4 linked regions of the Struthio camelus genome follow. The protein of the gene in region 2 interacts with the protein of the main gene of each other region in a biochemical or structural test. Links are inferred from orthologs where the notes say so. Each region holds a gene or a part of one and is shown on either strand. Other genes may lie near its edges.

Evidence for each region.
Region 1: the proteins of CDKN1A (region 2) and CCNA1 form a complex in vitro, tested with the Homo sapiens proteins (2 studies listed by BioGRID and IntAct, with this or other methods). The link is inferred for Struthio camelus from reciprocal best matches to the Homo sapiens genes CDKN1A and CCNA1.
Region 3: the proteins of CDKN1A (region 2) and GADD45A form a complex in vitro, tested with the Homo sapiens proteins (3 studies listed by BioGRID). The link is inferred for Struthio camelus from reciprocal best matches to the Homo sapiens genes CDKN1A and GADD45A.
Region 4: the proteins of CDKN1A (region 2) and CCND3 form a complex in vitro, tested with the Homo sapiens proteins (2 studies listed by BioGRID and IntAct, with this or other methods). The link is inferred for Struthio camelus from reciprocal best matches to the Homo sapiens genes CDKN1A and CCND3.

What each region holds. Positions count from the first base shown.
Region 1 is NC_090942.1:196,579,443-196,587,362, forward strand, and holds the start of CCNA1 (cyclin-A1), read right to left. Parts: upstream 3,031-7,920; 5' UTR 2,921-3,030; coding exon 2,792-2,920; intron 2,699-2,791; exon of another isoform or gene 2,336-2,698; intron 1,747-2,335; coding exon 1,503-1,746; intron 1,290-1,502; coding exon 1,165-1,289; intron 426-1,164; coding exon 202-425; intron 1-201. UniProt on the Homo sapiens protein: May be involved in the control of the cell cycle at the G1/S (start) and G2/M (mitosis) transitions. May primarily function in the control of the germline meiotic cell cycle and additionally in the control of mitotic cell cycle in some somatic cells.
Region 2 is NC_090965.1:4,719,890-4,727,975, forward strand, and holds the start of CDKN1A (cyclin-dependent kinase inhibitor 1), read left to right. Parts: upstream 1-5,003; 5' UTR 5,004-5,067; intron 5,068-6,216; exon of another isoform or gene 6,217-6,465; intron 6,466-7,421; 5' UTR 7,422-7,429; coding exon 7,430-7,829; intron 7,830-8,086. UniProt on the Homo sapiens protein: Plays an important role in controlling cell cycle progression and DNA damage-induced G2 arrest. Involved in p53/TP53 mediated inhibition of cellular proliferation in response to DNA damage.
Region 3 is NC_090949.1:37,060,780-37,067,688, reverse strand, and holds GADD45A (growth arrest and DNA damage-inducible protein GADD45 alpha), read right to left. Parts: upstream 2,546-6,909; 5' UTR 2,453-2,545; coding exon 2,409-2,452; intron 2,324-2,408; coding exon 2,222-2,323; intron 2,139-2,221; coding exon 1,934-2,138; intron 1,551-1,933; coding exon 1,437-1,550; 3' UTR 785-1,436; downstream 1-784. UniProt on the Homo sapiens protein: In T-cells, functions as a regulator of p38 MAPKs by inhibiting p88 phosphorylation and activity.
Region 4 is NC_090965.1:6,406,065-6,413,928, reverse strand, and holds the start of CCND3 (G1/S-specific cyclin-D3), read left to right. Parts: upstream 1-4,661; 5' UTR 4,662-4,780; coding exon 4,781-4,978; intron 4,979-7,006; coding exon 7,007-7,222; intron 7,223-7,864. UniProt on the Homo sapiens protein: Regulatory component of the cyclin D3-CDK4 (DC) complex that phosphorylates and inhibits members of the retinoblastoma (RB) protein family including RB1 and regulates the cell-cycle during G(1)/S transition.

The sequences.
Region 1 (7,920 bases), on a different chromosome or scaffold from region 2:
TTTGCTTCCAGCTTTATGGAAAAAAGTTTCCTTGATGTGAAGGTAGGAACATTAGACATTGAATTTTGTTAGTGCCAGAGCTGGTCAAATGGCTAATCTTAAGACATCATGACAAGCTACCTATTACTGCAGGTAAGTTAGTTCAAATTAAAAAATAAGTTACAGCCTTCTAAGTTTTCAGGAGATGATACAAACACTTACGCAGCCAAAAGAATTGCTGCAGTTCCTACAAGCTGCAGCTTCCCTCTGAGGACAGACATGCAGGAAAGAAACCTGTCCAGGAAGTTCACTGCCAAGTACAACGTCTCCGTGCGAAGTTTGTATTCTTCCCCTACTTCCACAAGCCAATCTACCAAGATGGCACGCATTCCTGTTGTGATATCTGGTTGTTTCCTCATATAGTATGGCTTTGGCCTGTATCTTATCTGCTCAGAAAGACAGGTGAAGAATTAGGACATTCATCTGAAGATGACCATTGATGGCTGAGTTTAAGGTATTTCACACTTACACCAGTAAGCCAAAAGTAGCAGAAGTAGTTCAACAATTGATAGCTAGTTAGTATTAACTAGCTATTACTTGTAGTCGTATTAAATAATAGCACCTCTACTAAGTTGCATGCTAACAAGAGACAGGAGTAATCTGTTAGTAGCAGAATAGCAAAAGACCTCTTGGACACTGAAGTTCAGCCTTTGCCATCAAGGCCATAAAAGCCATTCAGAAAAAGGGACCTGAAAGTAACTTTAAACAAATCAGGTTTCTTCCTTATTGGAAGGTTGTTCTTTTCCTTACCCTTCTGCATCAAAGTGGCAAGGTAAAGCTCTCTGATAACAGGAGAGCTGTCAGTGAGGTCACATCCAACTGCTTTAGTTTTTTTGCAGCATTTGATTCCCATCTGCAAGAACTATTTCTGGAAATTTGTCTTTAAGAGTCAAAAGATGCTGTAACAATGAGTATTTCCAGGAAGCAAAGTAATATTTGCAAAATCTCATCACTGTCTGAAGCCAGATTCATAGGCAGCTTCTAAAGACTGTTTTTGCTACCTGCTTTCTCCACTTTTGTAACTCAGTAGCAGGCTAGGGTCATCTTGGGGCAGCAATAAGCTTTGCAGCTCATCACAGAGTCCACAAATACCTTAGAATTATAAACTTGTAACAAATCACTCACTTCAGCTTCTCGGAGGTACTGATGAATGTCTTCTGCATATTCTCCCACAGTCATTATAGTTATTGCATCTCCCATCTGATCCTCAGGTTGGGATTGGAAGGATGTATCCACTATCATAGGAGACCCTAACAGGTTAGAGGAGCCAGCAACACATTTGATTAGCCTCCTCACCTTACTCTTGTCATTTCCAACACAGCAGATGCATTGTTGATCACAGTTATCTTGAAGTGCTATTTATTTCAAGATAAGCTAATCACTAGCTTGTGCTAACACCACAATTCATAGCTACCCTATGTGGATCTCTGCTATACTACTCGGTTAGTAGCCAGAACAGTTACCTGTACTCAGATCCAACAGTAGGTGAATATTGGATGTCATTGCACTAGTATCCAGTTCACACAGGCTAGAGTCCAGCTCTTCAACCACTGGGCAGTTGTAGTTTTCCTTCTGTTCTGGTTCATCTATATATATAGTAAACCCTTGCTTTGATGTGGCATCGACCATGCAGCTAGGCAATTCATCTTTTCCAGCTGGAGGGAAGCAGTTTTCAGAGCCAGAGAAATGTCTGATAACCATAGTACCCTGGAACAGAGTACACAGTAATGCTACAAGAGGGCAGTTCAGAAGATGACAGTAATTATAGCTTATTTTAGAGAGGAAGAGGAGTTGCTTTCTTTGGCTAACACAGATACCAAAACTCTAGAAGTTAACCAAGAAGAGAAAAAAACAAAAGAAATTAAAAACCTCCCCATAAACACAGAGCTACAAACAGCAGTTCAGAAATCTTGCTTGTTACTGTCTTGCTATAGTAGACACTTCACAGGCAAAGCGAGGTATACTGAAAGGTAAGAGCCAGGCGAGTCCTGAATAGCCTCTTCACCACTGCCTGCAAAGGCAAGCCAGCTGAGGCCAGCCCCATCAGAAACAAGCAGTGGCAGGTATGGGCTCTGCTCTGTCTGCAGTTTTTGCAAGCAGTGCTTATTTCAAGGCATAGCAAGCTAAAATATCACATGGAAGTTTTCAGAAGCTACCACAAACTCATGAAAGACTTCCCATAAAAGGAGGCACTTCATATTGAGTTACAAACCACAGTTTGCACCTCAGGACTCCAACACCTCAACACCCAGGGACTACAATGTGTGACCAGCAGGCAGTGCTTAATATCACTCACTTGTAATAAGCCATCAACTGAGTTAGGGGCTTTACACAGTCACAGCTGCAAAAAGCCCTTGTATAGGCACCAACTGCTACCTCAGCTCCAGCAAGCCAGCACAACGCTTCTGCCACAGCATCTGATTTCAGGAGGGCTTGAAAGGTCCAGGACACTCACTCTTCTGCAAGCTTTAGCTTTCTGGTGGGTACTCTGGCACCCACCAGGAATCACGGCCAGCCGCGGAGCAACGGGACCTTTGGGTCACCAGCAAACAGGCACCTAAACTTCGCCACCCCCTACCCTTCGTGGGGCGGGGGCAGTGCTAAGGCAAAGCCTCCCCGAGTCTCACCTTGCAGGAGGCGCTTCCGCCCGGAGCGCTCCCAGGGCCACGCCGGCGGGGGCGGTTACCGCAGCGGCCGCCTCCCTCCAGCCCCGCTACCTGCGCGCCCCCCCCCGCCGCTGCTGGGGGCTCACCTGGCCGCCGGGCCGCCGCCGCCGCCGCTGCTGCTGCCCGTTCTCCGCCAGCTCCCCCAGCACGGCCCGCCCGCCGGCGGCGCGGGGCTCCGGCCGCCCCGCACGGCTCTTCTCCCCGCTGCGGCGCATCGCCCCCGCGGGAGACAACAGCGGCAAACAGGCGACGAGTAGTTGTTGGTTGCGGCGCCGCCGCCTCGGTGCTCAGGGAGCGCTGCTGGAGAGTGGAGCCGGCCCGCTGCGCTGCGCTGCCGCCCCGCCGCCCCCTATATAGGCCGCGGCCAATGGGCGCCGGCGGCGGCTGTTGGCTGCGGCCAGTTGGACGCCGGGGCCGGCAACCCCCGGCCGCCGCGGCCCTGGCAACCCACGCGGCGGCGGCGGCGGCGGCGGTAGCGGCGGCGGCGGGTCGCCATGGAGACGCCGGCCCGGGGCCCGGCCCGGCGGGTGCCGCAAACCGCCCCGGCCGCGCTGCTGCCCTCGGCTCGGGGCACCGGCCGAGGCGGCCTTGGCCCCGCCGCCGGTGTCATCGGATTTTGGCGCAGGCAGGAGCCCGGCGGAAGCGAAGAGAGGACCGTAGCTTAGCGGCGTTTGATGGAGATACCGGGAGCGGTTGGGAGGAGACCGACGGAAGCCGGCCGCGGCGTTGAAGGCCGCCTGGATGGCGGATATGCCAAAACCAGCAGGCGGCTTCGTCTCCGGAAAAAGGAGGGCTCAGCAGGCCTGCCTGGGCGTGGGGGCACGCGCCGAAAGTTCGCGCTAGGTTTTGCTGCATCCGAAATTCACCTCCAGGCCTTTCTAGCGTTGGCATGCTAGGGTGAGCCGGGCACCCTCATGTTTCGGGAGCAAACCCCGAGGGACCTCGCCCCACCTCTGTGTCAGCAAGAGCAGGGCCCCGAAAAGCCTCGCACAAACCCAAGCGGAGCAGAGGCGCACCACCTCCGCCCGGAGATTTTCACTTCAGTCCAAGCAATCCCACGCAGCCAACTCCAGCAGCGGCCTGCCCGGCCGAAAATAGGAGAGTCTCATTTTAAGCTCTGATAGGCTTCAGATATCAGCTATGTTTTCCAGAAACAGAGAGTCGTTATATATAAGAGTCTAATTCTTTCAAAAGTGAAAAAGAGCTACTCCGCTGAGCTGTACAATTGGTGGCCAGGGTCAGAAATTGCCAAGAACTAGCTGAAATCAGGTGTCGGATTCTAATTTTTCCCCTAGTATTCCTGTGCCTGCAAGTGTCAATGTTCAGTATGTAGGGCAAAGCGAGGCTGATCTAAAAATTAAAAAAAAAGAAAAAGCAGTTAAAGAGTAAAATAGTAGGTGTACACATACAAATTCTCCCAGGGTGAAGAAAGGTTTGCAATAAGAGAGATTTTCATTGATCTCAAAAGCAAGAGGGAATATATGGGAAGTGGAAGGTAGACCAGGATGACCACAGTAGTGGGATTAAAACAGTTTATAGGGTCAAAATCATAAGAAAAGAGCAAAGATAGAGCAAGGCAAAGCTAGCAGGAGACATGGAGAATAACATGAAGAAACTGACGGTTACACTGGTAACAAGAGAAAGACTAAGGAAGGATTGGTATGCTATTCAACAAAAAGAGCAATTTATTCACAGAAGACATCAAGAAAGCTAAAGTATTTAATTTCTTTTGACATTCGTTTTCACCAAGAAGATTACTAGTGACCAGGAGACTAGTATTATGCCAGCAACAGAAAGGACCAAAAAAATTTGTCTTTAAATAAGGAAGGAACAGGCAGGAAGGAACCAGCTGGACCTGGTAATTTTCTCCTGATGCTATTGAAGAACTTGGTGATGAAAACTTGGAGAACTGCTAGTTCTCTTTGAGAGCTCTGGCAGGACGGGCAAGTTACAATAGAAAGGTAAAGGGATGCCCATCTTGAAAGAGGAAAAATAGGGAGTCAAGATTCAAGCCAGATTAACTCGAAATCCCAGAAAAGTGTGAGAACTAATAATTAGTTATTAGCAACTATTGAGTATTTATAAACACCTAGAATATAACAAAAAGTTGTACAAATGACAGCATCAGCTTGCTGGCAACAAATCAGATCAAAACATTTTGAATTCCCTCAGTGATGAAGGAAAAACTGGAAAAAGGAGATTTTAGTTGATTTTTGTCAAGATTTTACTCTCACGACACTTTCATAAACAAATCTCAGCAAGGAGGCAATTACAAAACTGGTTGCAAAGCTGTACATAGAGAAGTTCTCAGCAGTTCACTAAGGGCATGCAGAGTTTTATAAAGTGAATTGACATCTGGAGTTGTCCAGTGTCATCAAAGATTTCCACCAGTGATTGGGATAATGAAATGAGAGCACCCTTACTAAATTCGTGGATAGCATAGCATCATGCTGATGCATGATCACGCGTGAAAGGCTGCGACTATGCTGTGAAACAAGACTAGATTTCAAAATGATCTTGACATACTGGAAAATGTTCTGGAAAAGTAGGATGCTGCTCAAAAAAAGACAAGCGCAAGGTTCGACCTCAGTCATTTTGTTTTTTACCTTTTTTTTTTTTAATGAGAGGAAGTAAGCGGTATATCTCAAGTTGAAAAACGTTACCTGTTTGATGTACTGGCCATATACCATTACTTTTCCTTTTCCATGGGAAGAGTTCCATGTCCTTGCGACAGTACGGTTATAAGCAGGTATTAAAACAGAGCTGTCACAGTTTGCAGGGCGGGGGGTGAATGCAGGTCATGGGTACAGCAGGTTACAATGTACGCTTCCTGGATCCTGTGTCCTTCTCTGTCTTTCATGTCATCTCAAACCCCTAGATAAAAAGTGTTTTCCAGAACTGCACAATAAGCAAGACTTCACTCAGGGATACGTCTTGAAACAATTTCATGCAAAGTTTTAATTTCAGAAAAAAATCGGTCTAGCTCACAGTCTTTGAAATTAAACGTAGCCTCGAGTGCAACTCTAAACACTCCTTATCCCATTGTTTTGATGGGATTATGCAAAACTCTAAAAATAATCCTATGTAGAAAATGTATATAATCTATAGCAGTCTGAGAAGATGGATGTTAATCAAAAACTTTGCTAGATGTATGGACATTCCATGTTTTAACTAAAAATTTCAATTTTTATTAACATGTCTAAACAAAGGGCTTTTGAAATCTACATATTTTATCCATGAAAAAAGGCCATACTTTTTAGTGATAAAGGAAGAGAGAATGGGATTTTTCCATCAAAGTGAAAATTTTCAGTGACCTCAAATCACAGTTTAGCAACATTATTTTACTTCATGAGTATCAAGACTCCAATATCAGCCTCTAAGTATATTTTAAGTAGGGAGCACTACTCCTCCGACCTTAAATAGGTGCTGGTTAATAGTTTCAAAATCTTTTTTGAAAAGAATAGAAATTGTATGTCCAAGAGTAAAATGTTAAAATGCAAAACATAAGGGAATGACTTAGGAAATTAACTGCCTCAGAACATGAGTGAGATGATAGTTCTTGGGCTCAGATCCCTAAAAACATTTGCATCCCCAAAGTAATGTCAGCATAGTCTGGCCTGTCACTGACAAGGATTGCCTGGCTTCAAGCCACCCAAGGCTGCAGCCATCCTTGTGCCAACACTAGCATTTGGGTGGTCATGAGACAAACCAAGGACCTGATCCACCTGAAAACAAGCACAACAACAACAATAGCAAAATATTTTTTCCAAGTGAATCAGTTATCTGCTCTAGGTTTCTAGACAGCTACGTGAATTGTAGGGCCAGCACAAAGGACATTACAAACGTGCAGTGCCAGCATCAGGGTAGTAGTGGGGGTGATGCCATTCCCATCAGCCCCCAGCTCAGATTATGCTGGACTAAGTGTCCGTGTAAACATAGCTTCCTTCCCTTTAGCCTTAGCAGACTTAAACTCCTAAACCTCTTTAGACCTAGCCTTCTATGCATGAATAATTTTAAGTGCTTTTTAATTTTTCATAATTTTGAAAAATTTATCTCATCCTTAATCCATTTTGAAAATATTAGTTGTTCTTTCAAGGGATTTTCCTCTGGTGGTGCCAGAGCTGTTTTTCTTTTTCAGTAAAAGCATCTGGGTATGATATTGAGATAGATGAAACATTATGCTAGTGCTTATTTCCAGGAAAGGTAAATGCTGCTGTTGTGAACAATTCCTGTAGCTTATCAAAGTAATCTTACCTCTGCTCTGCCCAGACCTATTTTCCTAACAGCTCAGTGTCTCTTTATGGTATTTATCACAAAAAATATATGAACTTTATAGTTACAGATCTAACACATAACTTGCATTCATACAAAGATCACAAAAGTCACTCATAGCCAAATACAGGAATGGAATTTATGTACTAAATTTGTCTTAAATCAATGAATGTCCTTTATATCCAAATACCCATCATATTCATATGCCATTTAGGCATAACCAAAGAATGTCATCTATCCAACAATTTTTTGTTTCACATACAAATAGCATATGGACATCTTCAGTAGTCATATAATACATTAATGGAACTGAAACACCTCTCAAATAGCTTATAACGAGGTTATCCAAGCTCCAGTTTCTCAGGAACTCTTTGAGATAGCCCAGTATGGACTAGCACCTGAGGGAGGCCAGTAAGCTTTGCCAGCCATTACTTAATTGTAGCAACAGATCAAATCAAGCTTTGGGTCATTAATCATTTACCTCTGAGCTTCCCTGTGTGTGTGTGAGAGAGAGGCAACTGAAGCCTCCCTGCATGGACTCCTTAGAGCTTCTCTCAGTAATTACTGTCTCATTGAAGACTATTACGATTTCTAGGAAGATGGAGAAGTCAGATCAATACCTGTCTAGGCGAGGCTGCTTCCTCTATGGCCCTGGAAAAGCTAGTATTAAAGGGATGGTTAGAACCTGTCTCTGCCCTCTTGTAGATCTTTCCTAGCTCTTTCTCCTTTTGCTGCTGCAGTATGTGCTTTGAGTACGGATATTTCCAGGTCTGCCACTTGGTTTTATCAAAGGGAGCAGGACTTCCATCGACCCATGCCATGGGAGCAGGCTCAAGCTCCTGGTTTCCTCAGTGAGGGGCACCACAAAATCCCAGCTTTTACACAGCAAGCTCCTCACAGGCTGCAGTTCATGCTGGGCCTTCAGTTCTACCCCAACGGCAGA
Region 2 (8,086 bases):
GCCGGGGCCGGTGTCTCATCAAAATGCCTTCATAAATGGAGCAAACGAGGGCTGGAGATGGCAGGGAAACAGTCAATTAACACGATCCAAGTCCTTTTAGGGGCAGAGTTAATCAAGCATTCAGCGTTTTGTCATTCTTGCCTTTCTTTCCTGGGAAAATCCTATTAGTCTAAAAATCACTTGATTGGGCACTTCAAAGAGCTGATGGGAAAACAGGCTTCGCTGGGATGTAAACGCCGTTCGGCCGAACACTGGCTTCTTTTAGGCTTTTGCTGGAGCGTGAGTGTTTCATTAAGAGCCTTCGCATTTCCCACTTAAAAGGAAAAAAGCTTGTTAGGAGAGATAATAATAATAAAGAAATCTTGGCGATTTTAATCCTGCTGAGGAGGTTTCTGCTGCCTGAACATTCATGGCTTGGCTTCGTGGCGTTGTCCTCGGCAGAGCCTCTTACCCCTCCGTCAAACGCGTCTCGAACCCTGCTCACCCAGCCGAGCCGTTTCACACCTCCTTTGCCTACTCTCGCAAGCGACGGCTGGTCGAGGGAGAAAAAAAGCCACCGGGGCTTCACGTGCTCGATGGGTGACCGGGCCATGCCACATCCGCAGGGTGCTGCCGGCCGCGTTTCGCAGGACCCACGTCCTTCCGGGCTGCAAACACCCGAGCGCTCGTCCCCCGCGGTCTGCGCCCGAGCGCGGAGAGCGGTAACTCAGGCCTTTGCAGAGCCTCCGTTTATCCTACCTGGAAAAATAACCCGGTGCTTCATCTCTAAAGACCCGGAGGAGGCTTCTCCGCCTGAACCGCTCCCGTTTCTTCCGCTGATACTAGTCGATGTAAGAGGAATACTGCGTTTCCCGACAAACCTTGCTTCCCCTATACCCTGGGGCCACCGAGTTTCAAACCCGACAGCGCGGCGGCCGATGGGGGAGGATTTGGGCTCGGCCGCTGGGCGTTTGCTCACCGCGTCCCCGGAGAGGCCGAAACCGGGTGTCGGGACGATCCGCTGGGACCCGCTCCCGGCACGGCGCGGGGCGCTGCGTCCCGGTGACTCACCCGGGAATCACTGCTTCGCATCCGTGCCCGGAGCGACTTCCCGGGCCCGGCGCGGGGCGGGAAGCAGCCGAGGGCGTCCCAGCCTGGACAGCCGTGGAAGACAGGCGCTTTGAGGACTGTGATTTTACTTTTCCTTTGGTTTCAGCCTTCGGAGCATGTTTACAGACAAATTATGAGGCCAGGGCACGCTCGCTTTTACCAACCAGCTGCGGGTACCCTGTGAGTCAGGGTTGGGGACGCCCTGGTAGGAGAGTGATGCTGGGACAGGAGAGCTGACACCGCTGCTGACTACAAGCGGACGGGGAGAAGGAAGCAGCCCAGCGCCGGTGCCGCTCTCCAGCCCGGCGCCTCGGCTGCTCCTCGTCCCCAGAAGGACTCAACACCATGAGTCACCTTGGGTTTTTTCTCCTTTCTGGCCCGCCTTCTATTAATCACCACTTTTCCCTCCCCCCCCCCTTTTTTTTTCTCTCGCTGTCACTACAGAGGTGACCGTGAACTCTCCGACCCGACGCCAGTCCTCTCCCCGCTTCCCGTTTCTGATCAGCCACCGTGCCGAGGTCTTTCAGACCCTCTCTGGGGCCCGGCTGCTCCTCAAGCCCAGCCGCCAACACGGGGCCGCCTCGAGCCAGGCCGGAGCGGCTCGGCGGCTGCTGCCCCTGCCAAAACCGGGGGCGGCGGGTGGCGGGAGAGCAGTCGGGTCCCTGTTAAAATCAAGGCTGGAAGAAACCTGCCATCTTGCGCTAAGTGGACCCTAAACCCTTCCCCATCCAGAAACGGTAGAGACAATTAGGGAGTCGCTTTTCTACGGGAAAACCTGCGTCCGCTTTTAGCTGCTGGCTGGCTTCGCCTTAGTGAGGGACGTATCTCCTGAAAAGCCGCGTAACTGGGGATTTCGCGCCGGCCGGACGCCTTGGTTGGTTCTCTCTCGCTGTTTTGCTGTTTCAATCCGGCCTCCCTCACTGCAGTTAGCGGCAGACTGGGCAAACAAGCCCGCTCTTTCGCCTGCCGCTCTCGGGCGCTCATTGAAAAAGCGGCTGGTTTTGACAGTCCCGTTCCCTTTTGCTGATTTGCGGCATTTTTCTGCAAAAAGAGCTCATTTAAGGAATTCATATCCTTTCGGTGGATGCTTCTTCATCTGCGGTCCCTGCGAGCAGCTGGAGGCGGAGGTACCGCGTGGGGGATGCACCCCGCGCTGCTGCTGCTGCTGCTGCAACCGTGTCGGTGCTTCTCCTTCGGTGCCGATTGCGTCTTTATCAAATCTAGGGGGAGCGAACCAACACACTGCAGCTCATATGGCATTTTGCGAGCAAATGATATGCTAATGTATTACGAAGCATGAAACCTCTCCGCAGTGCAGGTCTACAAGCAAAAACCGTTCTCACGTGAACACAGCAGCAGCGGCTGCCCGTAAAGGCAAGGCTGTTCCAGCTCCCCCGCTGCTCTTGCTGCGTGCCACGGACAGAGAGACACGGGCTGGATTTGTTGTGCTTGTTTTTAGAATGAATTTAAATGCATGAGCGCATGAGTTACAAAAGCCGAGCCCGGCGGGATCTGAGAGCGTGCTGGACAGCGGACACCAGCTCCGAGCTCTTCCGAGCAGGCTCCAGCCCCTGCCACGTTAAACACTGCAGTAAACCCCGCAGCGAAATCTAGGGGAGCATTTAGGTCTAGCTTTGCCAGGCTTGGCTTTTTTCTGCCATGCACAGCATCGTTTTGGGTTGCTTTCGCGTTCCCCGGAGGCTCGCAGCTGTCCTGCGGGGTGAAGGGACGCTCTCTGCCCGTCCCACCGTGCCCGCTCGGTGCAGGGAGCCGCGCGGGGCCGGAGCCGCCGCCAGCCCGCGGGGTCTGCGCCGGCCTTGCCCGGCACGGCCAAGCAGGGACTGCGCCGGGGAGCCGCTTCGCGGGACAGTCTCCAGCTGAACATGCCCAAACATATTCTCGACTTGTCCGGACCGATGGGGAAGCTGCTGGTGCAGCCGGGAAACGGGCCGGTGTTTTGCATGCTGAGGGTCTCGCTTCCAGGAGGGCGCAGCACCCAGCACCCACCCGCTCCGGGGGGCTTCGAGGGTGCCTGCCGCCCTGGAAGAACAACTGCAAGTGAGCACTTTAACTTGGGTGGTTTTGGTCACTTGAAAACACGCAGCTTTTTGTACCTCGAAAGAGACAAACCCACCCAGCTTTATTTGCCCCCTTGTTGCCCACATCGTGGTTTCAGAGGTGCTTTCCACCTGGGCTGTTTACTCCACGCTAAGAGGAAGCTGCAGAATACGACACCCCCCGCCCCCAGCACCGCCGGCGTCGAGGGCATCAGCTCTCCCACTTCGGGGCACAAACAGCCCCGCCGACCCCTCTCCTACACCACGCACCGACCGCCGTGCAGCCAGACGGACGCACGGCACGGGTGCCCTCCGGCTTTGCAACCTGCCTGGCCCCCGGACAGGGTCTGGCAGCGCCTGGCGGCCGGGGAGCATCACCCAGGCTGGGCAGCCTGGGGGACAGAGTCGTCCCCTCGGTTAATTCATCACCCCCCCCCCCCAGCCCCATTTAAATCCTCCACATTACAGCGACTCAGCAGGCAGGAAAACCAGTTGCCTGGGAAAGGCCTGGCTGGGACGTGGAGTCCCCCCCCGCCCCCCACCCCCAGCTGCAGCTTTGCTGTCTGAAGGTGAAGGACCGGACTTAGAGGGGGAGGGTGACCCCTGCATCCCTTTTTGGAGGGGGGTCCCTGCATCCCTTGTCCAGGATGTCCCCCAACTGGGGGGTCCCCGCATCCCCGAACTGGGAGGGACCCTGCATCCCCAGACTGGGAGAGTCCCGGATCCCTGGACCAGGGGGTCCCTGCATCCCTGGACTGGGAGGGTCCCGGATCCCCGGACCGGAGGGTCCCCGCATCCCCGGACTGGGGGGGGGGTCCCTGCATCCCTGGACTGGGAGGGTCCCTGCATCCCCAGACTGGGAGGGTCCTGGATCCCCGGACCGGGGGGTCCCTGCATCCCCAGACTGGGGGGGTCCCGGATCCCCGGACCGGGGGGTCCCTGCATCCCTGGACTGGGAGGGTCCCGGATCCCCGGACTGGAGGGTCCCTGCATCCCCGGACTGGGAGGGTCCCCACATCCCTGGACTGGGAGGGTCCCGGATCCCCAGACCGGGGGGTCCCTGCATCCCCGGACTGGGAGGGGGTCCCTGCATCCCTGGACTGGGAGGGTCCCTGCATCCCCAGACTGGGAGGGTCCTGGATCCCCGGACCGGGGGGTCCCTGCATCCCCAGACTGGGGGGGTCCCGGATCCCCGGACCGGGGGGTCCCTGCATCCCTGGACTGGGAGGGTCCCGGATCCCCGGACTGGAGGGTCCCTGCATCCCCGGACTGGGAGGGTCCCCGCATCCCTGGACTGGGAGGGTCCCGGATCCCCAGACCGGGGGGTCCCTGCATCCCCGGACTGGGAGGGTCCCCGCATCCCTGGACTGGGAGGGTCCCGGATCCCCAGACCGGGGGGTCCCTGCATCCCCGGACTGGGAGGGTCCCCGCATCCCTGGACTGGGAGGGTCCTGGATCCCCAGACCGGGGGGTCCCTGCATCCCCGGACTGGGAGGGTCCCCGCATCCCTGGACTGGGAGGGTCCCGGATCCCCAGACCGGGGGGTCCCCGCATCCCTGGACTGGGAGGGTCCCGGATCCCCAGACCGGGGGGTCCCTGCATCCCCGGACTGGGAGGGTCCCGGATCCCCGGACCGGGGGTCCCTGCATCCCCAGCCTGGGGGGGGGGTCCCCCCCGTCGCCGGAACAGGGGGTCCCCACATCCTCGGACTGGGGGGGGGTCCTTGCCCCGTGGGGGCTCGCCGGGACGAGGGAGCCCCGAGCCGGGAGCGCCGCTGCCCCGCAGGGCCGGGCCGGGCCGGGGCGGGGCGGGGCGGGAGGGAAATCCCGGGTGAGCGAGCGGCGAGGCCCCGCCCCGGCCCGGTATAAAGCGGGGCGAGACGCGCCGGGCACCGGCAGACGCGACGGGACGGGACGGCGAGGTGAGTGCGGCCGGTATCGCCGCCGTCACCGGCAGCCGGAGCGGGGGGGGGAGCCCCGACAGGCAGACGGGGAGGGCGGTGGCGGCGGCCCCGCGCCGGTGGCCCCGGCAGCTCCCCGCTGGAGGGGGCGGCCGCGCCGCTGACTCAGGGCCGGTTGCATCAGAGCGGCGCCGGGCTCGGAGGGGGCGGCCGGGGGGCGACGGCCCCGCGCAGCCGCCCCGTCCCCTGCCCGCCGCGGGGCTGCCCCGGGACCGGGGCGCCTTGGCCGGGCGGCGCTCGCCCCCCGGCGGGCAGCGGGGCGCACTGCGGGGCCGGGGCTCGGCTCGGCCCGGAGCATCGCCCCGTCGGTGCCCGCTGCCTCGGAGCGGCGAAAATAACCGGGCTGCTGCCGTTGGGAGGGGGGAACGGGAGGTTTCCAGTTTAAGCTGTTATCTGGAGACGTGCGTGTTCCGCCGGACTAAGGCGACCTCGCTCCAAAATAGCCCTCCTTGCTGGAGAGCCCCAAGGACTCACCAGTGTCGTGAGTGGGGCATCCTCTGCACTCTGCCCCTCTTGCAGGGCAGAGGCAGCTGGCTCAGGCTGGCCCACCTGCAGCGAGCTCCAGCAGCCCTGTGCTGGGGTGCTCCTGGCCTCTCCTGTCCCCTGTGTTTCCCACAAACTGGTGTAACTGGTGGAGGGTAGGTCCTGGTGTTGCACAGGTGGCTGTGGTGAGCAGTGCTGCTGGGGGGGGGTGTGTGTGTGTACATCTCGACTCCCCAAACAGTGCCTTGATCTCCCAGCTCCAGCTGGGTGAGGTTTTCTTAATGCAACCATGAACCTGCATCACCTGTTTGCCCCAGTGTCAGGGTTCTCCAGCTGGAAGCTCTCGTTTTTTGAGACGACGGTGAGACCGAGTCAGCCCCGTGGGAGGGGAAGGTCACGTCTGCCCCGTCCTTCCGGATTTGGTGGCTCCAGCACCGATTCCGTGCTCTGAGTCAGGGTGACGCTGCTGCCACAAGGTGCAGGGGCTGGCGGGCGTCTGGCTCGATGTCGAAATGCGTTCCCTGACTGCTACCTGCCGGGGCTTGCTGGGACATGCTGGGACTTGCCTGGCGATGAGGTCACCCGCGGAGCCGGCTCCGAGATAGGAAGCTGAATTGCTATTTATACTCGGGGATGCTCGGCCCTGGGTTGAGGCAGGGCTGGATCAACGCGAGCGGAGGGTTGGGGCAGCCTCGGGAAGCACATGGGGCTGGAGGCTCCCCAGGGGTCTACTGACTGCCCGTGGTGGTGTGTGTGGAGCAGGAGATGCCAGCTGCTTCAAAAGGGGCTAAGCACTGGATTTGGGCAGTTTTCCATGCTGGGTTGGCACTGGCTGACGCTGCTGGGGGTTGAATACTCCAAACTTGGGGAAGTGGGGTGAGTGTGAGCCTGGGGGTCTGCAGCAGTCCCAGCTTTGGAGCTCCCTAATCGGGTAGAAGAAGACCGAGGACTCTGTCATGCATGCAGGGAGTGGGTTGCTTTCTGTGAATCTGTTAATGAGATTTAATGAATACTGCTAACCAAAAGAGGATCAAGTCCTAGCTTGGAAAACCATCGAATCCCAGCCAGGGTTATATTTGCCTTGCTCAGATAAGAGGCTCCTGGTGCAACTGTGGGCTGTGGAAGGGATCCCATGCCTGTGTGAGGAGGGGGACTGCTTGGATGGAGGGCTCTCTGCTACTTAACCATAAAGGTCAAGGCTCTTGGCATCGATCTGAAACAGTCTTGTCCCTGGTTACCCAACAGCTTCTTGCAGATGACAAGGATGGTTAGCAAAGTGGCTGAGCCTGTGGTGTATTCTTGCTGCTTGCTCAAAGGGCTTCCGTGCCACCGTGCCTGGGTTCTCAAGATTAAGAAATGGGCAGAAAAACATCCTATTGCTTCACTTGCCCGTGTGCAAGCTTGCCCTGTGCCCATGTTGGGGTGGGAACCCAGTGGGGTTTTGGCTCCAAGCCAGTGCCGAGAGCACAACTGGCTGCATTGATGTGTCAGAAGCTCTGGTAGCTCTTGGACCTGGTGGAAGAGGAACAGTAAACTTCAGTATTTGCCCCTTCCCCATCCTCCTGAGCTGCACCCAGGTTGTATCTGACCTCAGTTGTGCTCAAGTCTTTCCCTCTGCCCAAGACACCCCTGAAATCCTGAATGCCTGAGTCCCAGGCCAGGTCTGGCAGCCAGAGGCAGGGAGGTTTCCACTCTGTTAGCTTTGCTGTGGGGCCAAGCCTTGCCCAGCCTGGCTACTGCACGTTTTGCTCTGGCAGCAAACACGCTGGCCCTCCTGCTTGCTTGCAGCTTGCGCAACACCCCTGTAACCAGTGCTGCTTTCCTCCCTGCAGCTGCCACGATGCCTCTGTCGCAGAGCAGGGCTGGCCAGCAGATGCCCTGCAGCAGCAAGGTGTGCAGGAACCTCTTTGGCCCTGTGGACCACCACCAGCTCCAAAATGACTTCCAGGACCTGTTGAGGCAACAGCTGGAAGAAGCCCAGCACCGCTGGAACTTTGACTTTGAGACAGACACACCCTTGGAAGGATGCTTCAAGTGGGAGAGGGTTGTCTTTGCTGACCAGCAGCTGCACAGCCCATCCAAGGCCAACAGCAGTGGGAGTTGGAGCTGCTCCTCAGCCCACAAGGTACCCTCCAAGGACCGTCTTGGCCAGGCCTGCTCTGAGGTGCCTCAGCAGGGCTCTGAGGCTTGCACGGCTGGTTCCCCACAGCGCTTGAAACGCAGGCAGACCACCATCAAAGGTGAGTGCTGGAGGCTTAGTGTCCCTCTGTGCTGGCAGTGGCATCTCCCCATGGTGAGATGGTGTCATGACCACCATGGTTGGTGCCCTGACTCCCGTGGCAGGGGGAGATGGAGGGGACTTGGGTGTCTGGATGTGGAGAGCCCTGGCTGGCTTCTGGGCATGGAGAGGTGGGGAGGGATCCCTCTGCCTGGCTGCAAACTGGGTCCTTGGGGATAGCAGGTGATTCTGGCCAGGCTTGGGGGTCTTGCAGCTCAA
Region 3 (6,909 bases), on a different chromosome or scaffold from region 2:
TTTAAAGCTCCTGGAGAGAAAAGTGACAGTAGACTTTTTCTACTGCTGCTGGAAAGCACCTCCGAAAGGAAAAAGCAGCTATGCAGGAGACAGGGGCCCTGCTAACAGTGCTGGTAGTGTCATAGAAGTGGTGGGAGTCCCATGGACAGGTCTGGAGTCCCTCAAAAATGGGATGGGCCAAAGGCAACTGCATTTTGAGAAGTGCCAAGAGACTGGAGCGAGGGAAGCAAAGCAGCTTTTCCTGGGAGGAACTGGATGCCCACACTGATTGCAATCATTGCACCCTCCCAAGCCAGCATTCCTTCCTCCCCTGCTTTGACGCATAAGCAGGAGCAACACAAAGATCAAATTCAGGAAAGGGCAGAAGGGTTTGCATTGGGGATATGGTGTAATACTGGTCAGCCAACCAGGTTAACAGCTTTTCTCAAGAGGAGACGTTAAGAAAAGTTTTGCTACTGAAACAGGTCAGGTTTCCCCAACTCTCACTAGGATTCAGGCCCTCTACTAGTGCTGCAGCCTCTAAAGTTAATTTTATTTATTTAAAACTGTGCTGTAAGTGCCAGTGGTCAAGAAAAAAAAAGTAGCAGTACCTGCAAAACATCAGCTACTTTTTAGTTTTACGATTGTAGGAGGGGCCAGGAATAAAGCCTACGTGCCATTTTAGGTCCTGCACAAGCTCTGAATATGCAGCACTCTTGTCCCTGACAAGGGCCCCCAGTCACCAGCTGAGCCTTTTTGAGGGCACACTACTGAATGCAAGAAAGTAAGACTTAGTACAAAGGAGTTGAGGTTAAATTTTTTATTTAAAAAAAAAAAAACACCACTATTCAATTTCAAACAATTATATTAATGTAGCTGTCTTTAAAAGAAGTGGTATGGTTGTAGACCAACTGCTTAAGGGTACTCTGGTTCTGAAAGCTTGTAGCATAAATAAGTTTTCCATCAATATCATAAAATAACTTATTATATATCTTAGAATATAAACTTGAGAATTAACATCCCAAAATACAATAAAATTGTGTGTAAAAGTGTTTTGATTAACCTTTTTGCTCTTTCATGTTTAAGGTACTTAAACCAGAAACTCTAAGTTGCACTTTAAAAAACCATTAAGGGTGTTGGGTGTTTTAAGTAACTCAGCCATACAGTGTCTCAGCTTTTCCGGCAGGCTTTAATTCCTTTAGCAGCACAAAGGCTGCTCGTTCAGCTTCGCTTCCGTGTTCATTCCCATCGCTTGCCAGCTGCGGAGTCACTTTTCTTCAGTCCCACACAACATGTAGATTGACTTCAGTCTACCCCACTTGACTTCAGTTTTATTTATTTATTTTTTTTCCTCCTGTAATCCTTGTGTCAGGGTAGGGAGTTACTTCCTGAGCAACTGCTAAAGCATTTCAAAACTTCAGTGCAATTGTGTTCAGCGAGTTTCCATCCGGCTGCTATCACCGCTCGGGAAGGTTAATCACAGGGACCCACTGATCCATGTAGCGACTCTCCCGGCAGAAGCACATCAGCTGACTCAGCGCCGGGTCCTTCCACTGGGAGGCATGGGGGTGCTGGAAAAAAAAGGGAGAAACGGGGCTGCTTTAAGAAAAACGACCCCCACGAAGACACAAAGCAGAGAATCCAAGACTTCACTTATCTTGAATTAGAAAAACAAGGAGAAAAGCATGCACAAAGCCTGCCGTGCATCCTTGAGCTCACACTCAGATGACAAACAACTTCCCGAGCCCTTCACAGGCAGCTTCTCCCGATCCGCCCACAGGACGCCCCCAGCCCCTGCACCCTGAGCAAGGGCTCGGGGGAGGGGGGGCCTGCACCCCCTAACGCTCCCGCTTTACCTGGCGACCCTCACGGCAACACCCAGCGCCGCTGCCTTGCGGGGCCAGCGAGGGGCAGCGGAGGAAGGCCCGGGGGTGGGACGGGGGGGGCTGCTCACCGTGACCAGGACGCAGTGGAGGTCGGCGGGCGGCCCGGCGGCGCGCAGCAGCTGCGCCAGGCGCGCCGGGTTGCTGACGCGGAGGATGTTGATGTCGTTCTCGCAGCAGAAGGCCTGGAGCAGCGTGAAGTGGATCTGCAGGGCCACGTCGCGGCCGTCCTCCTCGTCGGCCGCCAGCAGGCACAGCACCACGCTGTCGGCTGCCCTGCGGGACGGGGGAAACGCCGTCGCCTCAGACACCGCCGCTGCCGCCTCCGCCTCCCCCCGCCCCGGCCCGGCCGCACTCACACGTTGAGCAGCTTGGCCGCTTCGTAGACGCCGATAGTGATGCTCCGCTGGCTCAGCGCCTTGCTGAGGACCTCCTCCAGCGCGTCGCCCACCGCCTCCATCCTGCCGACACAGCCGCGCTCAGGACCGGACCGGACCGGACCGGTCGCCGGTCTCCGGCCCCCGCCGCCCTCCCGGCCGGCCCTACCTGCCGGCGGCGCCGCGGTCCCCCGGCAGCTCCTCCAGCGTCATGGCGAGCGCGTCCCACCCGCTCCGCGTCCCGCCGCCGACTGCACCGCCCGGCGCCCCGCGCGCTGGACCCTGCCGGCGCCCGGCCAATCCGCGCCGGTCACATTTGCATGAGCGCCTTCTAATTGGACCATGCAAATGAGCTCCGCCCCGCCCCCCACCGCCTCGCCTCGCCCCGCCCCGCCCCGCCGCGCCCGGCCGCGCGCCGGCAGCCTGAGCCTGTTGCTGCGCGCGGCGGCTGCTGCCGGCTGCGGCGGGTGGCGCGGGCGGGCCGTGTGGTGACCGCGGCACCCGGCCTCGTGTGTTGACCGCGGCACCCGGCCTCGTGTGGTGACCGCGACACCCGCTGTCGTGTGGTGACTGCGGCACCCGCTGTCGTGTGGTGACTGCGGCACCCGCTGTCATGTGGTGACCGCAGCACCCGGCCTCGTGTGGTGACCGCGGCACCCGGCCTCGTGTGGTGACTGCGACACCCGGCCTCGTGTGGTGACCGCAGCACCGGCCTCGTGTGGTGACCGCAACACTGGTGTCGTGTGGTGACCGCGACACCCGCTGTCGTGTGGTGACCGCGACACCCGGCCTCGTGTGGTGACTGCGACACTGGTGTCGTGTGGTGACCGCGGCACCCGGCCTCGTGTGGTGACTGCGACACCCGCTGTCGTGTGGTGACCGTGACACCCGGCCTCGTGTGGTGACCGCGACACCCGGCCTCGTGTGGTGACCGCAGCACCGGCCTCGTGTGGTGACCGCAACACTGGTGTCGTGTGGTGACCGCGACACCCGGCTGTCGTGTGGTGACCGCGACACTGGTGTCGTGTGGTGACCGCGGCACCCGCTGTCGTGTGGTGACCGCAGCACCCGGCCTCGTGTGGTGACTGCGACACCCGCTGTCGTGTGGTGACCGTGACACCCGGCCTCATGTGTTGACCGCGACACCCGGCCTCGTGTGTTGACCGCGGCACCCAGCCTCGTGTGGTGACCGCAACACCCGGCCTCGTGTGGTGACCGCGGCACCCGGCCTCATGTGGTGACCGCGACACCCGCTGTCGTGTGGTGACCGCGACACCCGGCCTCGTGTGGTGACTGCAGCACCCGGCCTCGCGTGGTGACTGCGGCACCCGGCTTCGTGTGGCACCCGGCCTCACGTGACACCCAGTCTCAGGGGGTGCCTGGCCTCGCGTGGCGCTCAAGGCACCAGGCTTTCATGAGGCGCCGGGCCTTGCGCGGTGCCTCTCCCCGCGTGGCGCGTGTGACTAACCGTGGCTTAGCCAGGGAGAGCACGTCGACTGCGCCTCCCCTCCTGCAGCGGCTGGCGCCCCCTCTGCAGTAAGAGTGCTTGGCCAGAGCGTCTCTGCATGCGCCTCTGCATGCGCCGCCCACCGCTTCCAAAACCTGCTTTCCCGAGTAAAGAGCGGTGAGCAGGGGTAAAGCAATAGCTCCGACTTGTTTTATTCAGAGCTCAGCTACGAAGCGCACAGCCGGTAAATCGCCCTAAAGCGTTCTTCGTAACGCACCAAAATGCATCTCTTCGCTCGCCCTCTTCTCAGGACCGAGTCTCCTCCTAAAGGTCCCATTTGTTAAAGCAAATGATTGATGTAGGAAATGCTGATTCACGCAGCAGAAATGAGAAAACTTTGTACCGAGACGAAGATGGGGAGGGAGTGTCCAAAGGTAGAGCTTGTCAGGGCTGGTTTGGCCATTAGCCACGTGCTCGGGGGAACACGGCCCCGTTTCTAAAAACTTGAAAAGCTAAAGTATAAAGGTATGCCCCCACGGATGTGTCTGAACTTGCACTTTCTCTGAGAGGAGAGCTTACTTAGCTGAATTTGCTCACCTGCTTTTGCTGTGTGGTTTCTCAGGAGGAGAGCCGAGCCGTGTGTCGGAGAAGCAGTGGCGCCTTAGCTCTTGTGTCATACAATGGGCAACACCTATTCAGAGTGAACACATCATCTTAACGTCCCCACATTAATTTTCTTTTTTTTTTCCCCTAGGATAGGCCAAGCCCAAGGTCTTTGGCTCGTGGCCAGCCAAGCTCCAAGTGACACAGTGTTTGCCTGCTCCTACTTCAGCGCAGGTACTTCATTTTCCACCATTTCCGTTGTGAGTCAGCGTTCCAGACATCCCTGATTTACAGTGATAACTGGGAGACAACAGCTTCGAGCATGGTCTGTACCCTCAGACAGAAGTCATGGGAATACTGCCACGTAACGTTTAAGTTGTGATCAGGTACGCACTTACTACAGAAGTCACGAATCTTGCTCTGGCTTTCTATTCAGTGAGGGAAAACAGGATTTGTCTAGGAAAACTGCATGTCTTTCTGTACCAGAGCATTTTAAGAGTATTTGGATCCTGTCACGCATTAGGCCTGCACAGATCACAAGGCTGGCTTCAAATTCACAAATTCACAATTAAGATGAAGTTTTCTTTTTTTCCTTCAAGCATAAAGATTGCATCCTTATTATTCCTGTTTCAATGAAAGCCAAGGCACTCAGGAAATAACCTCACTAGCTCTTTAAAACCTAAGCACAACACATTGCGAAATATCTAGTACAGTCTTTAGCATTGGCAAGAGTGAAAGCAATATTTTGACTTGTGGTTTTCAATAAGAATGTGATAAAGTGGTCACTTGGCTTAATGTCATTAAAAGAGGTTTTTACAGTGTACAGTAGTATAGCTGTAGCTGCATTTAAAAAGTGCCAAGAGTAAATTGAGGAAGGCGGGCGGGAACTGCGTACTGCAGATAGCGTCTGTCCTGAGTTGCACAATGTGACCTAACCTACAGCCTTGGAGACAGTCTGAGATTCTGGGTACGCAAGTGCTGAGGTTAATGTCCTGTGCATGTTATCATCCTTCCAGGAACTTGGGAGTCTTCCTCCAGTTTTTTTTTTTTTTTTTAAAACAAGCTCCAAGTTTCACGTCTGCATTGTATCTTGGGACATGTTTTCTGATCTGTATGTGTTGTGACGTCTTTTGTTGTTTTTGAATTACCTCCTGCTTTTCCTTCATAAAAAAAGTCAGAAGCTTGATGAGACCTTTTCACCAGAGATTCTGAGTGAAAGCCAGGTTCCTGCCCTGAAAATGTCTGTACCCCCAGACATCTGCCTTATAGGACATACTGCTGCTTCTTATAGTATTTGGGACACTCTGGTGGTTATCAGTGTTGGACCCAGGGGAGGTAAATAAGGCAACAGAGCCTTAAAATACGTGCTTTGTTTATAGTAAACACTGTAGTTTCACTTCCAGCCTTGCTGGTAAGGAAAGGTGACATGGCATATTGAGAAATACCACAAGCTTCAGCGACAGCTTCAGGAGCTCTCGTCTCAAACTCTTACGTCAGAGCTACAGGACGGATGGTCTGCCCCAGGCAGCCAGAGGCAAAAGGCACATCAAAATGAGCGACTTCTCTACTTTTCAGCAAGATGTGTTACGTTGCTTGTGCTGCAGTAGTTACAGGTACCTCTAGCTTTTGGGGCTGGAAAAACCTGTTGCTCATAAGTGTATTTTTTCTGAAGCCAGAGCTCTGCCTGCCTGCAGACACACTGGAGCTGGTGAGGCGAGCGCTATCAACAGGGAAGGCAGCCTGGAGAGCAGTGGGGGGCCCGGGTCAAGACTGTGGGGCTAGTCCAGGTTGAGGCCACGGATGCTGCAGACACGCTGTTAGCAATACCCACGCTAGCTTGTTCACGGCAAGCCTGGATACGTCCACTCCACGTGCTGGCGTATCGCTGCTGAGTGAAGGGGAAGCTCAGGCCATGTTTCAGCTGAGTGCCATCCTCTGTAGGAGTGGAGAGGAGACAGAAGTGGTTTCAAACAACCTCTGAAGACTTTGAGGGGAAACAAATCCTTTCCTTTCAGGTCGTTCGTCCATCTGTTTGTGCGGTCGTTCAAGGTCCGTTTGGGCTGTGGTGCCAGCTGCAGAAAGGGGTGGGTTCCCTGCAAGGCAGGATGGCTTGGCTCCCTGTCTCGTTAGCGCTGGCCAGCACAGCACATGCCCTGCTTCACGCTCTACCGCTGTTCAGACCAGTGCTGTGTCTGCTTATGTGTGTTTGGTACAACATTAGATCTTGAATGCAACTAATGCTTACTCCCAGCTGTTGGATACCACATCACTAGAGGCAGGTCGCTCCTGCAGATGCAGAGGGGACAGTCTAAGGTGGCTCTGCATGGACAGACAGGTGGACGGTTGGTGCACCGTTAGGCTGGTTGGTACGTGGGCAGTGTCAGCCCAGGGACTGAGGATCTTTCCAGATGTAAGTAGTGCAGCAGTGTAACTCTGGAGCATGGCTGGTGTTTCCCGACAGCTAAAGCTCTTCATGCATCTTTCTGGTGTAAGAAGTGATTCCCTTGGTGTCTAGTTTGGCTCATGTTAAGCCACGTTGTAATTTTCCCGTGAGTCACAGGCATTACAGCTTGTGTTATTAATTGTAAGAAATACCTTTCTTGACCATCGTGTGAAGCCT
Region 4 (7,864 bases), about 1.7 Mb from region 2:
GAAGGCTCATATGTATCATAACTGGATACATCTAAGCGTTGCTGAGATCCAGTGTTCAGATGATATCACTCTGAACTAATTAATTGTATTCAAAAGTCTGCCCAAGTCAGAGGAAAGGGAATGCTGTGGTTGCCAGTAATAGGAAAGCTATTAGGAAACACATCCCCTGGGTCAAATCCTCCAATGCTGAACTTGCAGTCAACCAAACTTCCCTTCAAGTCAGTGGAAGTACTTTTCTAAGTAAAGAATGAATAAGATATGAAGAAGGAGAGCGAGCCAGCAATGGAGGGAGACAGTTGTCTTGTGTTTAAACATGGGAGCAGGACCAGGAAATCCTGGACTCCCCTGTCCACTGAACCAGGGAATGACTGAATGAGTCTGGGAAGATGACTTAACTCCTTGTGCCTGTGGCCTCTGATTCATGGGCAACTAAAGCAGATGTCTGCGACGGGCTGACGTGCTGTCTCCCTGCAGCCATCTGCCCTGCTGCTGCAGTGCAGCAGATGAGGGTGTATGCTCCACAGCCTGACCTGCTAATACCAGCCTGTCTTTATCAGCAGTTTATGTGTGTATGGCCGACCGTAAGCTGAGCCACCTCCTTCTAAAGGGGCAAGGACTTCTGGCAATCGCAGACAGCGACACCAAACTGCCACCGCATGATTTGCTGCCCTTGTACGCCAGAGCCCTTATTCTTTCCTGCTGGGAATGGTTGCAATATCCCTCCACTTTAGGGGAAACTGGATGTGAAATCTAACAGATTAAGATTTGTGAAGTACTTTGAAATCCTAAAATAGCAAGGGTGAAGTACTGCCTTCGCTCTTTCTCTCACATGCACAAAATGGTACCTGTTTTTCATTTTATTTTGGGGATTTCCTGCAGCAAATTATGTAGTTATTTGCTCATTGGATTTGGTTTTCAGGTCCTTGATGTATGTTAAGCAGTTTCATTTTGATGTCACTGATGATGCTGTAGTTGCAGTATGACCAAGGAAGAAGATGGCTTAGCTCATGGTAGATCAAAATCGGATGAAACACAGCTATAAAATATATGAAATCAGAAAGCAGCGTAGAGAAGATACTGATCCTTTGTTGACATCCTCTAGGGCCAGGCCCACTGCTGATGCAAAGTGACATTGCCAGCTGAAACCCTTCTTCAGAGAAGAGCTTACAGAAATGGCCCTGTTGAATAACCAGCCTGATAAATGGCTTTAACCTTGATCCAAGCCTAAGTGTGATACCAGCTGACCATCAGCTGAGAATCAGACCTGCATCTACAGTGCTCCTTTAAAAGCTCCAGCTGCTGGTGACTCTCTTTAATTCATTATCATCATACCAAAAAAATGAGCCCCTTTATGATTCAGCAAAGAATAACATTGCTGGTCTGAGATCCTGGAAGCCTAGAAACCATCAGTTTTTTTTATTTTTACTCTGAAGGAATTTCCTTTTTTAATATTGCTGTGCTGTCTACTGCCAAAGCCAGGAAGTTGACTATCTATGGACAACAGTGACCAAAATTTGGTTTTCCTGGAATTTTCTCTTTTCCCTCCGCACACCCACACAATAGGCTTTTCAGGATGCCTGCAGTCTGTAATTTGCCTTTCTAGCCTGATAATGTGGCTTGCAGAAGCACCAGTTTTGCCAAGTCATCATCTGGAAGGAACACTTTCTTATGCAACAGGCTTCATCTTCCCCCCTCCGTGTCCTATGGCCCATGGTTGCCACCAAGGCCGGCTTCAGCCGAACCACCGTGCCAACACTGGGAAATGGGAGAAAGACCATGAAGTCTGGAATAGGGCCTGAAACTTTCAATTTCAAAAGGCACAGCCCAGAAAACAGAGGGATCAAGAACCCAGCGCTGTGGTTTCCCTTTGCCTGATTAAAGAAAATAGCTGCTGTCTATTTTTACTATAAATGTGGGACATGAGGTCCTTTGCTTTCCTTGTACAAAAGGGGGGATGCTGCTCACAATGAAAGAGTGAAGGAGTGGAGCACAAGAGGTCATCCCAGATTAAAACCAGCTGCCTGGTCCACAGAAATCTCTTCCATAGATTCTTCAATTTTTTTCTTTCAAGACAGGGACAGGATTGATCTCTTCCTTTTCCTATAGGTCATTATCACCATGCTGTCTGGTATTCCCAGTGCATTCACCACAACAAATCAATGATGATGCTATCATTAAGAATACGTAGCTAGAACATGTCTCCCCAGCCAATATTCTAGCTGATTAAAGAAAGACCAGGAGAGGGAAAGACATCTAACGGGCAATGAACTATATACCTTGCAGAAAATGAAAGCCATCTGTACAAGCGTAGAAAGAGGATTCTAGTGTGTGAAATCTACTGAGTGTGTTATATATGTGACCTTTGCGTCCACTGCCATGAGTAGTATTTTGAACTTCTAAACCTCTGATCAAAAAGATTTTTTCGTTTGCAAAAAAACACCACCTGAACACAGAGAACAAAGACTTCAGTCTTGTTTTGCTTGATTATTAACTATGTATGTTTGTTCTTGATTAAAAGACTGTGTTTTTAGATGACTGAAAATACTAAAAAGTACCAAACGTGTCGAAATGGCATACACAGAAGTAACTTATATGGCAGATGACTCAGTCGCTAACTCCTTTGGGTCTTTGTTCCTTAACTCAAAATGGATATACGTGTATATACTGAGGAGTACTCCAGCAGAACTCATCAGAGATGTTCCAGTTGCGTCCCCTTTATATGACACTGCATCCCCAAAGTCCTCAATTTCTACAAATTCCTCAATTTTTACAAATTCCATTTCTCCATTCCGTTCTGAACATGAATATTCTCCCCTACGATTCCAGACGGGGATTGCTGCTATGAGTTGAATTTCGGCTTATCTCAGTCTGAGTCCCTTTATCATTCCGCAGTACACCCAGAATGGTCTTTGCCCAGTAACACGGCACTATTAAATGGAATATACTGCCCTGAGCAAAGGAGTGTTACAGGAGTGTATGTACTACTGAGATGCTTCATTTCAGATGATAAGGCAGTCAAAACTTGCAGGGAATAATGGAAAGCAGCAGAGTGAGAGAAGTAGATAATCTAGAAGGTATTTCTCACCTTGAACATTTATGATTGTAATTAATCATTTGCTTCCACTGCTGCTGCAATTGCCATAGTACAGCACCATCCCAGTGACGGATGGTCAGAGGGTTATATGGGCCAGTCACCTCATTCAGACACATTCCTTTTCACAACCTGTATGAACTTTCGTAAAAACAGACCTCCTGAGCTAAAGTTTCCTAGTATGTTTTCAATTCAATGGGGAATTTTTAAATGTGCAAACTTGAAGGCGATCCATTATCCTGGTCTTCCAATTATAGAATCTGTTGTACATTTTATAGACTGTTTTCTGGCTCTTCCTGGTCTTCTGCTGATAAAAAGCAACTGTAAGTCTTCACATCTGACACACAAGCAATCCAGAAAGTAGGAGTGATTCCATGCTCTGCTTGGAAAATAAAATATTTTGAAAAGAAGACATTAGGAAGTTTGGGGGCATGTAAGAAGTACCCTCAAGGATATTCAAAGGAGACAAGTCTGACTGAACTGAGTTGCCTAGGAAAGTCAGAACATCCCAATTTCTGTAGCCAGTAACACAAGAGAGAGCCATGCGGCCGGAATTATATTCAGTTGCCTCTAATCTCCATACCCAAAAGCAATTAGAGCAAGTAGACGTGGGCTCAGGTACCAGTCCAGAGCAAATCCTAAGCATGTACTTCTGGACCTGCAGGGAGCCACCTCAGTCCCACTGGCACCACTCTCCTTACCTGGCATCACAGAGCCAATTCTTAGTTATCGTGTCCATTAGAGCAGTACCTAGCGTTCCCATTTGAGATGCCTACTATGCTGTGGAAGTCACAGTACAAAGTTATTTGAAAGTCTGTGTTTTCCCTGAAAAATAGGAAGCGTAAACAGCTGCTCAGTACACAATTTGAAAAGGCTAGTATTTCCAAACTATTGTTAATTATTTGAAAAAGCAGCAATGCCTGACAACCCTTATCTCTGCAGACACTGAGGTTGCTATCTTCTGTGGAGCCGCACCAGTGACAGCACGAGGGTAACTTCTGGAAGCAAGCAGGCTCAGTAGGGACCTGCTTGGGGTATGCACACAGCAGATTATGTTCATAGCCTTGAAGGATTCTGGACATAAAACAAAACAAAACAAACTATAGAACTAAATAATGAAGTTGTAAAGAAGAGGTAGATGAAGATGGAAACCTTCCAGTCAGTTCCAGGACTGTCCCGTTCGGACGGGGTGGCCGTGCCCTGGGCACACAGCTGGCTCTTCTGACAGCTCGGCACCGCCTTAGGCACATGGGAGCGCCCTGAGAATAAAGGGGGTGAAAGAAGGGGTCGATGGGGGATTGCTGAGAGACGGGGCGATACCGGGGGGGGGCGGCCGGAGCCAGCCCCCCCGCGCCGCTTCCTCCACCATGGCAGCGCCCCCCCCCCCCGGCCGCCCCCACGTGCTGGCGGCGCGCCGGCGCGCCGGCTCGGGGGCGGGGCGGCCGCCCGCGTCCGGCAAGGGCGCTCCAGGGCGGCGCGCGGATTGGCGGGAGGCGGCGCGGGCCCCGCCCCCTCGGAGCGCGGCGCTGCAGTGCGGGCGGCGGGTCCCGCCCCTTCGGAGCGCGGCGACTTCCCGGCGCCCCGCAGCCGCGCAGCCGAGCCGGCGGGCGGGCTGGCTGGCTGGCTCCGCGCTGCCCGCCGCCTCGCCTCCGGCCCCGCTCCCCCGCCCCCGCCGCGGGCTCCGGGCCCATGGAGCTGCTCTGCGTGGAAGGGATCCCCCGTGTGCCCAGGGCCGAGCGGGACCCGCAGCTCCTGGGGGACCGGCGGGTGCTGCAGAACCTGCTGAGCCAGGAGGAGCGTTACAGTCCCCACGCTTCCTACTTCCACTGCGTGCAGAAGGAGATCAAGCCCCACATGCGGAAGATGCTGGCTTTTTGGATGCTCGAGGTACGGCACCCTCCCCCCCCACCCCAGCCGGGTCCCGGCTTCTTTCTCCTCTCCCGCCTCAAAATCTAGCTCTGTGTCCGGCCACCGGCTCTTTTTCTTGCCCTTTCGTCCCTGCTGCTAGTGTGAGCTATGCTGCTCCGGCAGGAGAGAGCTGGTGGCGGCGTGCTGTAAAGGAAGGGAGGGGTGACCGTCCCACGTTCACTTGGGGGGGAGGGAGCTTTCAGTGGGGTTACTTCATACAGGGGGCAAGGGACAATCCAGGGAAGAGGTCTTGGCGGCAGGAGAGCCTCTGGGATGCGTGTGTGCCGGAGGTCAGGGCTGTGGGATTTGGGGGGGGGGGGTCCTGGAGGTGGCTGCGGGGAGGCAATCTGCAGTGGGGTCTTGCTGATGCGAGGGTTGGTTGGGCCAGAAGATGTGATTCCCCCTGTGGGAGGAGCAGCCCCCCTTTAGCCCAGCAGCCTGTGTTCACCCCCCCTCCCCCCCCCAGCAATGTGCTGCCACACCATTGTTGGCTCCTCTGTTCCCACCCTGCTCTCCAAAATTTCTGGCTAGAGCGCTCTGCTGTGCACCAGAGAGTCCAGAGACTTGAGTTTCCTGAATGGGGCTGGGAGCGCTTGCTTAAAGGGGGAAAATAACATCGCTACCATTTACTTCCCTAAGTTAAAAATGAATGCAGCTCTCTGTGGGAAACAGCCCAGTGGGGGAAATCTCATGGGCCTCTTTCTGAAACGGTCAGGGTGAGCGGTCTCAATAGAAAAAAGAAATAACAGATCCTGCAGAGGACAAATGATGTTCCAATTGAGCCTGGCTCCTGCTCTCCACCCCAGCAGCTGTCGCAAGCTGCCTGATCTGTCAAAAGAAGTAATAGAGCAACTTGCTTTTTTTAAAGGTTTTTCCCTCTTATCGTTGGTCTCTTTCTGCAGTTCGCTTTCTGAGGAGGTTAGTTAGATAAGTGTTGCTTTAGAGCCTGTTCCTTGTGAAGCTCTAAAGGCAGTCTAAAAGTGAATGATACTAAGCAGTTGTCATGATTGGGCACAAAGCAAAATTGGAGGCTTGTGCTATTTAGTCGCAGCTCTGGGGCCGTATGTTTGACCCGTTAAAATCAGGCCAAATTCACCTTGAACTGTAAGACACTAGAACTTGCACCTGAAATTGACTTGTCTTTCTCTTTAAAAACTGTGGAAGAAAGGAAAATGCACAAAACAACTGCCTTGCCCTGAGGGGTTTGTTCTCTTTTTAGAAAAAGTCTCTGTCCTAGGGTTTACAGCAGTCTGTGTAAGGGAAAGGCAGAGTAACTGTTTGAAAGAGAATGGTGCTGTTTGCTGCTGTATGAGGAGAAACTCCAATATTTTTATGGTTGCATTGAAAGAAGGAAGTAAATATGACCAGGGCTTTGATACTGGTTGAGAGATTAGAACAGGGGACTGAAATGGAGAACTCCTGGATTCTGTTTATGGCTGTGGTACAGGTGTGGTTGAGAAAGAGGAGGGGGAAGAAAGACTTCTGGGCTCAGCCACGGACTCTGCCATTGATTCTTCTTGTGTCTCTGGGCCACTTGAGGTGGAATTGTCAGAAGTGACTATGGCTCCTGCATGATTAGGTCTCCAGCTGGAGACATGCTGGAAATGATAATTTTCCTTAGAGGTCCTGAGTGCCCACAGAGCAGAAAATGCACAGCTTTGCTGGTTGTCTACCTGTAGACATCCCCAACAGGGGAAAATAAAAACAGGGGCAAGTAAAAGCAATTTTGGTCTTAGCTTGTCTGTGTGTTCTAACTGCATACCACTCTTGCAGCTTTCCACAGGAAAACAAAGTCTTAAGACACTGGTCAAATTTTCTTCTAGTGTAATTCTGTTCAAGTCTAAGATTTGCACCTGCAGCTGGTTTACACCTTAGCATGGAGGTGATACATCAAAGCCCTTCAGAAATGTGTGAAACACCATCATGACCAGAAGCTTTGAAGTTGTGGTGCAGGCAGGATCCGGGGCGCCGATTAAAACTTCCTCTTTTGTTATTGGATTTTGTCAGGTGTGTGAGGAGCAGAAGTGCGAAGAAGAGGTCTTCCCCTTGGCCATGAATTATGTGGATCGCTACCTGTCTTCAGTGCCCATGCGAAAAAGTCACTTGCAGCTTCTGGGAGCTGTCTGCATGCTCCTGGCTTCCAAGCTGCGTGAGACCATGCCCCTGACAGTGGAGAAACTCTGCATTTACACAGACAACTCCATCACACCTCAGCAGCTCCTGGTAACCACCCCTGTCTCAGAGCCCTCCGTCCCCTCCCCAGCTCTTATCTTCTACATGCTGCTACTTGGCAACGTACCTGTGTTTGTATCTCCTCTGTTTCCTTTCTCTTGTTTCTCCAAACGCCTTCCACCATGTTCCCCAACCAACCTTGCTTCCTTCCCGGTGGATGTTGCTGCCTGTCATTGGAGACCACCTCATCCTGCGCAGGCCCTCGCTCCCTGGGCTGGGAAGCAGCAGCGTCGCCTCCAAGTTAGCGAGAGAGTTCCCTGCGCCTTTTAAGTGCCCGTTCCCAGCACGGAGCTGCCACGCTGGGCTCGCTCCCATGCGCTGGTTCGCTCTCGAGTGACAGCTCAGGAGAACAAAGGCCCCTGTCTGCACAGCCGGCCGAGCACGCGGCAGGGGGCTGGGGCTGCCGGCCAGCGCCTCTGCCTTGCCCCCGCTGCCGAGGACTCTGTTTCTAGGCATGACGTGGGAGTTGCGTTTCCACATCAGCAGGAAAACGAAGCATTAAGTGGAGAGTAACCAGCAAAATGGGTGGGAGCTTTTGTGACACAGAATTCAACTAACCAGGTTATGCTATTCAAGGCTGACAGTGCTGCCAAGGTGATGGGGCCTGTAGAAACAGCCTGGAAGTACCTGAGA